2 linked regions of the Callithrix jacchus genome follow. The protein of the gene in region 1 purifies or fractionates together with the protein of each later gene. This does not show direct contact. Links are inferred from orthologs where the notes say so. Each region holds a gene or a part of one and is shown in the gene's direction. Other genes may lie near its edges. The genes, in order: UBE3D and DNAAF2.

The links.
Region 2: the proteins of UBE3D (region 1) and DNAAF2 purify together in Homo sapiens (affinity purification with mass spectrometry; 4 studies listed by BioGRID and IntAct, counting the BioPlex papers as one, with this or other methods). This does not show direct contact. The link is inferred for Callithrix jacchus from reciprocal best matches to the Homo sapiens genes UBE3D and DNAAF2.

Annotation. Positions count from the first base shown.
Region 1 is NC_133505.1:88,582,004-88,588,613, reverse strand, and holds the start of UBE3D (E3 ubiquitin-protein ligase E3D), read left to right. Parts: upstream 1-2,156; 5' UTR 2,157-2,269; coding exon 2,270-2,346; intron 2,347-6,610. UniProt on the Homo sapiens protein: E3 ubiquitin-protein ligase which accepts ubiquitin from specific E2 ubiquitin-conjugating enzymes, and transfers it to substrates, generally promoting their degradation by the proteasome.
Region 2 is NC_133509.1:84,130,774-84,137,379, reverse strand, and holds the start of DNAAF2 (protein kintoun), read left to right. Parts: upstream 1-2,842; 5' UTR 2,843-2,992; coding exon 2,993-4,870; intron 4,871-6,606. UniProt on the Homo sapiens protein: Required for cytoplasmic pre-assembly of axonemal dyneins, thereby playing a central role in motility in cilia and flagella.

The DNA of each region.
Region 1 (6,610 bases):
TAAATTATTGAAATAACTATGTAAATATTATTTTAATAGTTTCTCAATATTTCATGTGAGTAACCTGCGGCCCAGAGAGGTTAGGAGACTTGTGAAGTTAGGAGACAAATATTTGGTATCAGATTTGGAACTATTTTGAGTCTAGAGCTCTTTTCTGTCAATCATGTCTAGTTATTCCAAGGTGGATTGCACCGTTTTGTCAACACTGTAGGGTCCAAAAAATGATTGAAGTTTTTACAAATACGTAATTAAATATATAGCAATCTTTTAAGCTGACAAAACAATTATGAAGAGTAAGCTGTGCTAAGGAATATGTGTATTTCAATATAATGTGTCAATATTTAAACATTCAATAGCTTCGAGGATTAAAGATGGAGGATATGCATAGCTGAAATCATCATACTTCAAATAGATGAATTGAGACCAAATAGTAGTAAACTTAATTTTTTTAACTGAGTTGTTGCTTCCATGTATGATTTCAAATTATTGTGATAGATATAATAATTTGTGCGTCAACATGATGAACTTTAATAACCCCAAATACTAATTTTAGAAAAATTGTTTCAAGCTGTTATCTTAAAATATATGACAGGATTTATTTATTTACAATTTATTGTCTGGGCTAGGTGGCTCATGCCTGTAATCCTAGCAGTTTGGGAGGCCTAGGCGGGCGGATCACATGAGATCAGGAGTTCGAGACCAGCCTGGCCAACATGGTGAAATCCTGTCTCTATTAAAAATACAAAAATTAGCTGGGTGTGGCTACCGCCTGTAATCCCTGCTACAGGGGAGGTTGAGGCAGGAGAATCGCTGGAACCCAGGAGTGGGAGGCTGCAGTGAGCCGAGATCGCGCTGCTGTACTCCAGCCTGGGCAACAGAGTGAGACTCCATCTCGAAAAAATAAATAAATAAAAATAAAAAAGAATTTATTTATGGTCTAGGCCGGCACTATGGCTCACGCCTGTTATCCCAGCACTTTGGGAGGCCAGGGTGGGCGGATCACTTGTGGTCAGGAGTTCTAGACCAGTCTGGCCAACGTGGTGAAACCGCGTCTCTACCAAAAACATAAAAATTAGTCGGGCATAGTGGTGCGCGCCTGTACTCCCAGCTACTCTGGAGGCTGCGGCAGGAGAACTGCTTGAACCTGGGAGGCGGAGGTTGCAATGAGTTGAGATTGTGCCACTGCACTCCGTGTCTATATCTATATATATATATATATATGGTCTAATTATTTTGTTTAGAAATACTTCAAATTAATGTGTTTGGTGTGCAGTAATTATTACTTTGAAATAATAGAACATCAATAAACAAGGTTTTATGTATACAAGCCATCACTATTTTTGTTTCAAAAAATAGCAGTTTTTTGTTTTTAAGAAATCCTATTGTAAATTCTACCCTGGTCTTACATTTTAGTGGTTCTTCATTATAAGTACTTACATTATATCAGGTTCTTTACTGTGCCAAACTTTTCAAAACTGTCTTCTAGTCGTAACGGAATGACGAATTCTCTTAGTTTTTACTTCTGTGAAAGTGAATAGTGGAGCTGTACATACGTAATCATTCTCAACGTCCTTTTTTACCCCCTAAAAAATGGTTAATCCTGTATTCAAGATAGACTTCAGCCACACTCTTCTGCATCAGGTAACAAAAAACTTCCTTACGTTTTTGCACCTGTTTCAATTTTGGAGCTATCCTAAGTTGAGAAGCAATGGCAAGTCAATTCTTGAAATTTTTGTTGCTTTAGACAGAGGCTAACAAACTATCCTTGTTCATAAAAGAGACCAGGATAAAGTGGGTTTGGGGCGGGGAATTCTGCTCTTGGATCTCCTGGGGACAAAGCACCTGTAACACCTGCCTCCATCATCTCCTTCCCTTCAAGCTAGCCAGAGTGTACCCTAGGTCTGATTTTTATGGTAATTTCCAGGGAGGCTAACGCGTCAAGTCACGCTCATGAGAAGCAAAGTGGGAGGATAGCTTGCCTCTCGTCGCCCACCTTTCTCAGCACTGGGCCAAAGCCTGGTTTTGAAAACGCGCGCCCCGCCCCGCCCCGCCCCGCCCTCCGGGGTCCCGCGCGTTCACTGTAGCGCGCTCTCCGGCCGGCAAGTGGCGCTGTGAGCTGGTAGGCGGTGCTAGCCGCGCGTCTGGTACAGGCGCCTGCGCCGCAGCGACGCTGCTGCTGGTTGGTCCGCACGTGGAACCGCACCTGGTCACGTTGACCCGGGCCCTTTGGACCCTCCAGCTTGGTCCAGTCCGGGATTGGACGCTCGCCATGGCGACAACTGCGGCGAAGACACGCGTGTTTCTGGAGGTCCGGAGACAGCTGCAGAGCGCGCTGCTGATCCTGGGGTAAGAACTGGATCCTAGGCGGCGCGGTGCCCAGCACGCTTTTCTGCTCCCGGGGGCTGGGGGTTGGTGAGTCTCTCTCTGCTCTCTCGGAACGAGGGACTTTGAGTTTCTTGTTTCCAGTTGAGTACCTCTCGACCACTCAAAGTGAAGCTTTCCCCTGTAGTCGCCTCCGCTACCTCCACCCCTACTGACAGTCTGGGTATCTTTGGGGTGCTTTTTAGAATCTCAGGGTCTCAGCCCCACACCAGAGTTATGGAATCAGAACTTTTATTTAAACAAGATTCCCAGGAATCAAATGCACGTTAAGATTTGAGGAATGGTGATGTAAAACACCGTTGGCAGTGCCTGGCGTTTCCTACAAAACAATGCAAAAAATGCCTCGTCTACCTCTCTTCGGGATCCTCCTTACTGGATCAGTTCCTATGTGTGCGCTTCTTGTTTTGTAAATAACTTCGGGTCTTTTCTCTTCAAACTGCTCTTTGCAGAGAAACCACACAATCATTCAATAAACGTGAGTTTAGTGCACCCCCAAGAAAGGTTACAGACTTCTCATTGGAGCTCGTTTTTTTATTCATATTCTGAGTTCCAGTGAGAACGTTGAGCTTGTTATTTGCTGCACAAACAAGAAACTTTTAGGGAAAATGTTCTCTTTTTGTTTGAAAGCAGTTTTAATGATTTGTGGCGCCCTTGTCTATTCCTTTGTGATCGCTTTCTCAGAGAGAGATTAAGTTAGATGTTAAAATCCTGAGAATGTTATTACACAGTGTCACAGGTTGATGCTTAGTTTTTTCCTCTTTTCTCTCAATCTGCCAGATATCTGGTGTGGCAGTTTGGGATATGGCGTGAGAACTGAGTTCAAATGCTTGCTTCCTCACAAAGTTAGAATAATTTAATCTGAATTTCTTCAATCTTGAAATGGAAATAATACTTAGTACTCTAAATGTATTTCTTTTTCTCTTTTCAAAAATCATGAATTTGGACAAATATCTCCAATTCTGGTGCACCTTGTAATTAGGAGCCCAAGCCGTACCAAATCAAAACAAAAAACAAACCACACACACCAACAAACCCTCCCTTCCTCTCATCCAGGGTCCTTTCACAGTTCCCTTGGACTACTCTCCCTTGTTTAAGCAAGTTAGGAAACCTAACTTTGCTCGACTTAGTTTTGACATTTCTTGAACTGCTTATAAATGGATTCATGCAGCATATATATAGTTTCTGGCTGCATTCCTTCCATAATATTTTAAAGATTCATATTCCATCTATGTGGCTGCATGTATCAGTAGTTCGTTCCTTTTTCTTGCTGAGTTTTCCATTGTATGAATATACTACAATTCATTTATCTGTTCTCCTATTGTTGGATGTTTTTCTTGATTCCAGAGTTTGCTTATTATGACTACAGTTGTCATAACAATATTGTATAAATCTTTTTTTGGACATACATTTTCATTTCTTTTTAGGTAGGTACCTAAGGGTACTTACCTGAAATTTCTGGGTCATGGGACAAATGTGCGTGTTATTTTGTGAGAAATTACCAAACAGTTCTCCAAAGTGATTGTACCACTTTACACACTCAACCAGGAAAAAAAAGAGTTTCAGCTGCTTACATTCTCACTTGGGTTTAGTATTGTTAGTCCTATTAGTTTGAACCATTCTAATGGGTGTAAAGTAGTATCTTGTAGTTTTAATTTTCACTTCACTGATGACTAATAATGTTAAGTGCCTGGACTCAAGCAATCTGCCTGCTTTGGACTCCCAAAGTGCTGGGATTACAGGTGTGAACCACCATGCCCAGCCTCATTTTCTTAATAGTGTCCTTTGATGAACAGAAATTGTTATTTTAATAAAGTCCACTCTATTGCTTTCTTTTTCTTTAAGGGTTTTTTTTTTTTTTTTTTTTTGGTGTCTTAAATCTTTGCCTACCTCAAGGTTGTGAAGATTTTTTGCTAGGTTTATTTTCTGGGAGTTATATAGTTTTAGCTTTTACATTTTGATCTATGATCATGTTGAGTTCATTTTTGTGTTTGCAGTGAGGTAGGGATCAAAGTTCTTTTTTTTTTTGTATGAGGATATTCAGTTATTCTGTCACCATGAGTTGAAAAGGCCATAATTTCTCCCATTAAAATAATTCAGTATCTTCATGAGAAATCAATTGACTATACTGTTTGCATAGTATGTCTTTTCTACCCTCTTAACTTGTCTTATGTCTTTCAGTGTAAAGCATAAAACTGTAAAAATACTGTGTTTCTGTAAAAATAGCATAAAACTGAATGCTATTTTAAAGAATATATACTTTGGTGATTTTAAAAACATTCTGATCTGTGCGTTTTGTTTTGTGTGTTTTTTTTTTTTTTTGAGACGGAGTTTCGCTCTTGTTACCCAGGCTGGAGTGCAATGGCGCGATCTCGGCTCACCGCAACCTCCGCCTCCTGGGTTCAAGCAATTCTCCTGCCTCAGCCTCCTGAGTAGCTGGGATTACAGGCACGCGCCACCATGCCCAGCTAATTTTTTGTATCTTTAGTAGAGACGGGGTTTCACCATGTTGACCAGGATGGTCTCGATATCTTGACCTCGTGATCCACCTGCCTCAGCCTCCCAAAGTGCTGGGATTACAGGCTTGAGCTACCGCGCCTGGCCTGATCTGTGTGTTTTAATTAAAATATTTAGTTTATTTTATAGTTAATGTAAATATTGGTGTTCTCGTTCCTAATTGCTATGGTTTGGGTGTGTTTTGTCCCTATGTTTTGTCATGTTGATCCCCAGTGTGGCACTGTTGAGACATAGGGACTAGACTAGTGGGAGGTGCCTGGTTCCTGGGGGCAGATCCTTCTTGAATAGATTAATGCCCTCCCATGGGAGATGGGTAGGTGAGTTCTCTTTCAGGAATGGATTAGTTCCTGCAATAGTGGGTTGTTAAAAAGAGTCTGGCTTCCTCATTTTTCCATTCACAGATGTAAAGATCTATTTATGTTAAACAGTCTTAGCATTCTTGGGATAAACTTTGGCCATTCATTTATTCAATCCACAGATGTTTATTGTGTTCTTACTCTAGTACGGAAAATTCAAATTCTTAGTGCTGAGGATACAGCCATGAACAGTAATAGCAGCAAAGACAAGAATACTTGCCTTTGCTGAGCTTACAGTCTAATGGTGGCAGTGTGGAAGAGGCAGCAGAGAATATACAAAATAAATAAAATATAATAGAAGTAGAGAATTCCAAAAGGGACTGGGAGGAAAAAGTTATAATCTTTTATTTCAAATGAGAAATAGACATTTGAGTATTAAACTAAAAAGGGTGAGATGTAGAAGTGACATACTTGTGTGAGACAATTTCCATTTCTAAGAAAGTATGTTTGAAAGGGTTCCTAGTTCAGAGAGATGCGGGTGAGGTGGGGCAACACACAGCAAAACGTCTTATGGCAGTGTGCTGGCACATGTTTAATATTCTACTCTCCATGGAAACAAAAAGACACACGAAAGGTCTTGATTTGCAGCATTTGTTGATTTCTTTGGTGTGAATACTTTTGCCATGGATGACCTTCAACCTACCAACTGGGTGAGTTGACCTGCTTTGCAGAACTGCTAGAATTTTAACAACAGGTTCTCCAAAGCTTATAGCATACTAGAGTCTAGTAGTGGCCTTGGCCTACTATACCACTGTGACTTATGGACCATCGAAAGGACTTTAGTCTGTAGAATGAGAGATGAAGTCATTGGATAGTTGAAAGCAGGGTGTGATACCTCACAGAAGACAAGTCAATGGTGAAGAAAGCCTCAACTATAAAAATATTGTATGGACCTTGTCATCAGACTTAGTCTCAAAGTAGGACTCTCCTATGTAACCATCATCCAACCCTTAGAATTGGGAAATATGTTGCTACGATCTTACATCATTCATGCTTTGCCAGTTGTCTGTTATAATATCCCTGATAACGAAAGAATCCAGTTCAGAATAATGCATTGCATTTCACTGTCACGCTTTCTTTGTTTCAGTCTGGAAGAGTTCCTCATTTTCCATTGACTTTCATGATCCTGGCAGTTTAGAAGATGATAGCACAATCATTTTGTAGAAAATCCTTTTATTTGGATTTGTCTTCTGTTTCTTCAAGACAAAGTTCAGTTTTTGCATCTTTGGCAGGAATATAACAGAATATAAGAGAAGTGACGCTTCCCATCAGGTGGCACAGGATTTTGCTTTGTTCCATCAAATTGGTTGTGTTAACTTTGAGCACTTAAGAAATGATGATGTCTGCCAGGCTTCTCT
Region 2 (6,606 bases), on another chromosome or scaffold:
ACTGCAACCTCCACCTCCTGGGTTCAAGCAATTCTCCTGCCTCAGTCTCCTGAGTAGCTGGGATTAGAGGTGCCCGGCCGCCACGCCTGCCTAATTTTTATATTTTTAGTAGAGACAGGTTTTCACCATGTTGGCCAGGCTGGTCTCAAACTCCTGACCTCAGGTGATCCACCCGCCTCGGCCTCCCAAAGTGCTGGGATTACAGGCATGAGCCACTGTACCCTGCCCATTAAATTTTTTAAGGATAGGTTTCCTCAATGGATGAATTTTAGGTAAGAGAACATTTGTTTTGGGCAAGTGGGCTCTTCCACAACTCCACACTGTCTTTTCCCAAAGAGATTCTTCTGGGAAAGAGAACATCACATACAAGAAATTTGGCAAAACAGAGGGCAGGAACCCCGAGAGAATCTAATGAAACCTACGGGCCCTATGGGCCTCTACTGAGAACCACGTCCCCCAACCCCATGAGTCTGCCTCTACATATAATTTCAGAGGGTTCAGTAACTTTAAAGGCCATTAGCACTTCTAAACAACCAGTTGTAGTTTGTTTCCTTTTGAGAAGTATGGTGCGTTCATGTTGGAAATGCCTTTTTTAAGGTCAAACGTCCAGAATTTTGACGTTACAAAGGTGAATGAAAATAAGTTGACTGGTTATGCTCATTGACTTCAGGGTTATAACAGAAAAGAGTGCAATTTTACACATCCCTCAGGTGCTTTAAACCTTTTGGAACTCATCTTTATGTCTCAAAGTTATTTTAGATGCAAAGCTTTAAAACCTAAGTGTAGGGTGTTCTAAAACTTTTTACTAAACAAGTTCATAGGAAATTATAAAATATGGCTGGGTGCGGCGGCTCACGCTTGTAATCCCAGCACTTTGGGAGGCTGAAGCAGGTGGATCACCTGAGGTTCGGAATTGGAGACCAGCCTGACCAATATGGTGAAACCCTGTCTCTTAAAAAAAAAAAAATTATAAAATATAAGCAAACACACAAAAAAGTTTAATGACCTGCAATTCTACTATCAGAAATATTGTTAATACTTTGGTAAATATGCTTCCAGATTTTTCCCTATGCATAAGCTTTTTCCTATAAAAATATTTTAGGATCATACTATACATACTAAACTTGCTTTTTTCTTTACTATGTTAATTCATCTGCCTGCCCAATAATGTTCTAGGCATCAGAGTATCCAGTGGTAAACCAGAAAGGCAAGGTCCTAGATTTCATGATGTTTATTTACCTTTTTAAATGGGGAGAGCCATACCCTAAAGCAAGAAAATACCCAATATAAACCATGGTTTTAAAAAAAAACCCAGCCAGGAATGGTGGCTCATGCCTGTAATCCCAGCACTTTGGGAGACTGATATGGGTGGATCACCTGAGGTCAGGAGCGGGAGACCAGCCTGGCCAACATGGTGAAACCCCAACTCTACTGAAAATACAAAAATTAGCCGGACATGGTGGCAGGTGACTATAATATCAGTTACTTGGGAGGATGAGGCAGGGAGAAATGCTTGAACCCAGGAGGCAGTGCAGTGAGCTGAGATTGCACCACTGCACTCCAGCCTGGGCAACAGAGCAAGACTCGGCCTCAAGGAAAAAAAAAATGTTTTGGAGCTAGTGTGGAGGCTCAAGCCTGTAATCCTGTTATCTCACCACTCTGGAAGGCTGAGGCAGGATGATCATTTGAGTCCAGCAATTGGAGACCAGCATAGGTAACATAATAAGACCCCCATCTCTACAAAAACTAAAAAATTAGCCAGGCATGGTAGCACATACCTGTAGTCCCAGTTACTTGGGGGGCTGAGGCAGGAGGACTGCTTGAGCCCAGGAGGTTGAAGCTGCACTCCAGCATGGGCAAGAGGAGAACCTATCTCAAAAATACATACATACATATGTAAATAATTAAATGATGTTGATATAATTGCAAAACTGCTCTCTAGAATTATCTTACTGAAGTCTGTTCCCACCCTAAGGAAATACAGTAGTTGTAAGAATCTTCCATATTTTGGTAGTTTACATGTGGTATATTTGCATTTTATTATTAATGAAGTTAAAGTTTTTAAGTCCATGGACCACTGGTAATTATTTATGAATGGCCTGCCCATATGTCTTGCCCCAAATGAGTTTTTACTGGGTAAATATTATAGTGGAATTGCCAGAAAATGCAAAGGAGGTACACCGAAACTGAAATGTTGGCCGGGCGCCGTAGCTCACACCTGTAATCCCAGCATTTTGGGAGGCTGAGGCGGGCGGATCACCTGAGGTCAGGAGTTCAAAACCAGCCTGGCCAACATGGTGGAACCCTGTTTCTACTAAAAATACAAAAATTAGCCGGGTGTGGTAGCAGGCGCCTGTAATCCCAGCTACTCAGGAGGCTGAGGCAGGACAATTGCCTGAACCTGGAAGGCGGAGGTTGCAGTGAGCCGAGATCACGCCATTGCATTCTAGCCTGGGAGACAGCGAGACTCCATCTCAGAAAAAAAAATAAAGAAAAAGATTGAAATGTTAGTTTAGCAAAGTGAAGAAAAGTAGCTAAACAGGTTTGAATTAGCCTGTTGATACACTGGCTATATGACCTTCGTCCAGCTTCTCAGATCTCGTTTGTGAAATAGAGACGAGGTTTATCTTCAAGTGGTGTGAACAATGAATGGGATAATGTACATACTGCTGGAAATTATGACAGTTACTACAACAGTTATTCTGCAGAAGTAACTGTACCATGGAATAGGTATATAAAACAGAGAAAGTACGGTGGTGGGTTGGTTTGAAAAAATTAAGAGGCTATTCCTGGCATTTCCGCTATTCCACCATTTCTATCCCTCCTCCCGAATGTTAGTGGTGTCACTATGGCAACAAGCACGCGCTGCTCAAGGCTCAATTTTCCAGCCGTTACCGACACTCTCCGCTGCCCAGAGATTGTGAGGCGCATCCCCCCAACTCAGTTTCAGACTGATCGCCCTTGGCCCAAGGACTAGGAGCCACAGGGCAGTATGGCCAAAGTGGCGGCCTCCTCGTCGCTGGAGGACTTGGACCTGAGCGGAGAGGAGGTCCAGCGGCTCACCTCCGCCTTCCAGGACCCGGAGTTCCGGCGAATGTTCTCCCAGTATGCCAAGGAACTCACCGACCCCGAGAACCGGCGACGCTACGAGGCAGAGATCACCATGCTGGAGCGTGAGCGAGGGGTGGAGGTGCGGTTCGTGCACCCAGAGCCGGGCCATGTGCTTCGCACCAGCCTGGACGGAGCGCGGCGCTGCTTCGTGAACGTCTGCAGCAACGAGCTGGTGGGCGCACCCAGCAGCCGGCCCGGCTCCAGGGGCGACCAGGGCGCAGCGCCTGGCAGCCACTGGTTCCTGCCCTACAGCCTGGCGCCCGGCCGCGAGTACGCGGGACGCAGTAGAACCCGCTACATGGTCTACGACGTGGTCTTCCATCCAGACGCGCTCGCACTGGCCCGGCGACACGAGGGCTTCCGTCAGATGCTGGACACCACGGCCCTAGAGGCAGTTGAGAAGCAATTCGGCGTGAAGCTAGACCGCAGGAATGCCAAGACCCTGAAGGTCAAATATAAGGGGACCCGGGAGGCAGCGGTGCTGCGCACGCCCCTGCCCGGGGGCATCCCGGCCAGGCCCGAAGGGGAGCCGAAGGGTCCTCTCCCGGACTTCCCCTACCCCTACCAGTACCCGGCAGCCGCCGGAAACTCTGCAGCTCCCGGGCCCCGGGCGCCCTCTCCTCCGGAAGCGGCCTTGCAGCCCGCCCCCACCGAGCCTCGCTACAGCGTGGTGCAGCGCCACCACGTGGACTTCCAAGATTACCGCTGCTCCCGGGACTCAGTCCCGAGCCCAGTGCCCCACGAGCTAGTGGTCACGATCGAACTGCCGTTGTTGCGCTCAGCCGAGCAGGCGGCGCTGGAGGTGACGGGAAAGCTGCTGTGCCTCGACTCGAGGAAACCCGACTACCGGCTGCGGCTCTCGCTCCCTTACCCCGTGGACGACGGCCGCGGCAAGGCACAGTTTAACAAGGCCCGGCGGCAGCTGGTGGTAACGCTTCCAGTGGTGCTGCCGGCCGCGCGCCATGAGCCCACAGTCACCGCCGCAGCCGCGCCGGAAGAGTCCGCGGGTCTGCCCGGAACTGACAGCCAGGCCTGCACTTCCGCTCGCGAGGGGGCGGCAGGACCCGCGGGAGGTCGCGCCGAGGACCGAGGCCTCGATACCTCCGTGGCTGTGACTGCGGGCTCTGGGGTCACCACCCTGGGGGACCCCGAGGTGGCGCCCCAGCTGGCCGGCGCTGGAGAAGAGCATATCCCCGGGCTGGGGGAGCAGGACTTGAGTTGGCACGCGGGGTCGCCGCCAGGCAGCGGAGAGAAGCCATCTCCCGGAGGTGAAAGCTCACCCGGTGGTGGAGGCTCCTCTTCTATGTCCTTTCCGGGCCAAGCCTGGGAGTCTTCTGCGGGAAGAGAGAGAGCGCGCGGAGATTGCAGTGTGGAGACGCGCGTGGAGTCTGAGGGAACTGGAGGTGAGCGCTCCGCCCGCGCCATGGGTGGTCCCGGAACCGAGAGCTGGGAACCTTTGTGTCCTCCGTTACTGTGTAATCAGGACGAAGAAACCCTGACTCTGATCATTCAAGTGCCTCGGATCCAGCCGCAAAGTCTTCAAGGAGATCTGAGTCCCGTCTGGTACAAATTATGCTTCTCCACACAAGATTTAGTTTATTCCTTCTTTTTGCAATTTGCTCCAGAGAATAAATTGAGTACCATAGAACCTGTGATTAGCGTTTCTTCAAACAATGCAGTGATAGAACTGGCAAAATCTCCAGAGAGCCATGGACATTGGAGAGAGTGGTATTATGGTGTAAACAACGATTCTTTGGAGGTAACAGTTCTTTCCAGAGTCCTAATATTTGAAATATCCCATCTTATTTAAAAAATTTTCTATTACTGGCCAAACTTGGTGGCTCACGCCTGTAATCCTAGCACTTTGGGAGGCTGAGGCGGGCGGATCATGAGGTCAGGAATTCTAGACCAGCCTGGCCAATATGGTGAAATCCCGTCTCTACTAAAAGTACAAAAATTAACCGGGCGTGGCGGCGCGCGCCTGTAGTCGTAGCAACTCGGGGGGCTGAGGCAGAAGAACCGCTTGACCCTGGAAGGCAGAGGTTGCAGTAAGCTGAGATTAAGCCACTGCACTCCAGCCTGGAAGACAGAGCGAGGCTCCGTCGCAAAAAAAAAAAAAGAAAAAGAAAAAGAAAAAAAAGCTATTACAGGCACCCTTTAAGTTTATCCTAAACAAAGCATTTTCCATTATAACTTCTTGTAATGACTTGATATTGATGCACATGATGAAAGATGTCAGTGCATGTTGGACGGATTTTGAAAAAAAAAAAAAAAAAAAGAAACACGCATGGAGTCTGGTGGATGGGATTCAAATCTTCAAAGTTACCCCGAATATAGTCGTTTTTCTGAGATCCATTGAATATGAAGGAGACCATGAATGCATTTTTAGGGAGCGGTAGATCTCTGGAATTGTATGCAAAAAGTAGAGAGTGATCTCTTCCAGAGAAAAGGGCTATAATTTTAATTATAGTCTCAAAAAGGGTTTGTAACACAAGTAAGTTTAAAAAGCACTCTGTAATGGGCAACTTTGAAGCTGGTAATCATTTTTTCCGAGTTTAGAAAATAGAGCATAGGGGCTGGGCATGGTGGCTCACGCCTGTAATCCCAGCACCCAGGTAGGCCAAGGCGGGTGGATCATGAGGTCAAGAGATCCAGACCATCCTGGTCAACATGGTGAAACCCCGTCTCTACTAAAAATACAAAAAATTAGCTGGGCACGGTGGCACGTGCCTGTAATCCCAGCTACTCAGGAGGCTGAGGCAGGAGAATTGCCTGAACCCAGGAGGCGGAGGTTGTGAGCTGAGATCGCGCCATTGCACTCCAGCCTGGGTAACAAGAGTGAAATTCCATCTCAGAAAAAAAAAAAAAGAAAAAAAAACCCTCCAAAAGTGGTAAAATAAATAACTGGGCTAGATAATGTAGTTTGTTAGAATATAAAATATGAAACTGAGTATCTGTTTATGTAATCAGAAGTGGGAAATTTAGGAAAGGGCAGTTGCTTTCCTGTAATTGTTTTAGTAATTATGAAAATAACCCACAGTGTGGGAAGAAAACTTTGTTGACAAGGAATTAATAGAATATTCAATAATACATTTTAATCTGATTTTCAAGTATGCTAACATTTTAGCAAATAAACTTGATGAAAATGGGATTAGGGCAACTGTATTTTATATCTTTGAAGCCTGAAATAGATTTTTAATTACTTCACTAATTATCATATTTGCCAAGGCTGATGGAACAATAGCATCTAACTTTTTTTTTCTGGAGATGGAGTCTTGCTTTGTTGCCCAGGCTGGAGTGCAGTGGTGTGATCTCAGCTCAACCTCTGCCTTCTGGGTTCAAGAGGCAGCCTCCTGAATAGCTCTGGGATTACAGGCGCATGCCAGTACACCAGCTAATTTTTGTATTTTTAGTAGAGACGGGATTTCACCATGTTTGGTCAGGCTGGTCTCAAACTCCTGACTCTGTGATCAGCCAATCTTGGCCTCCCAAAGT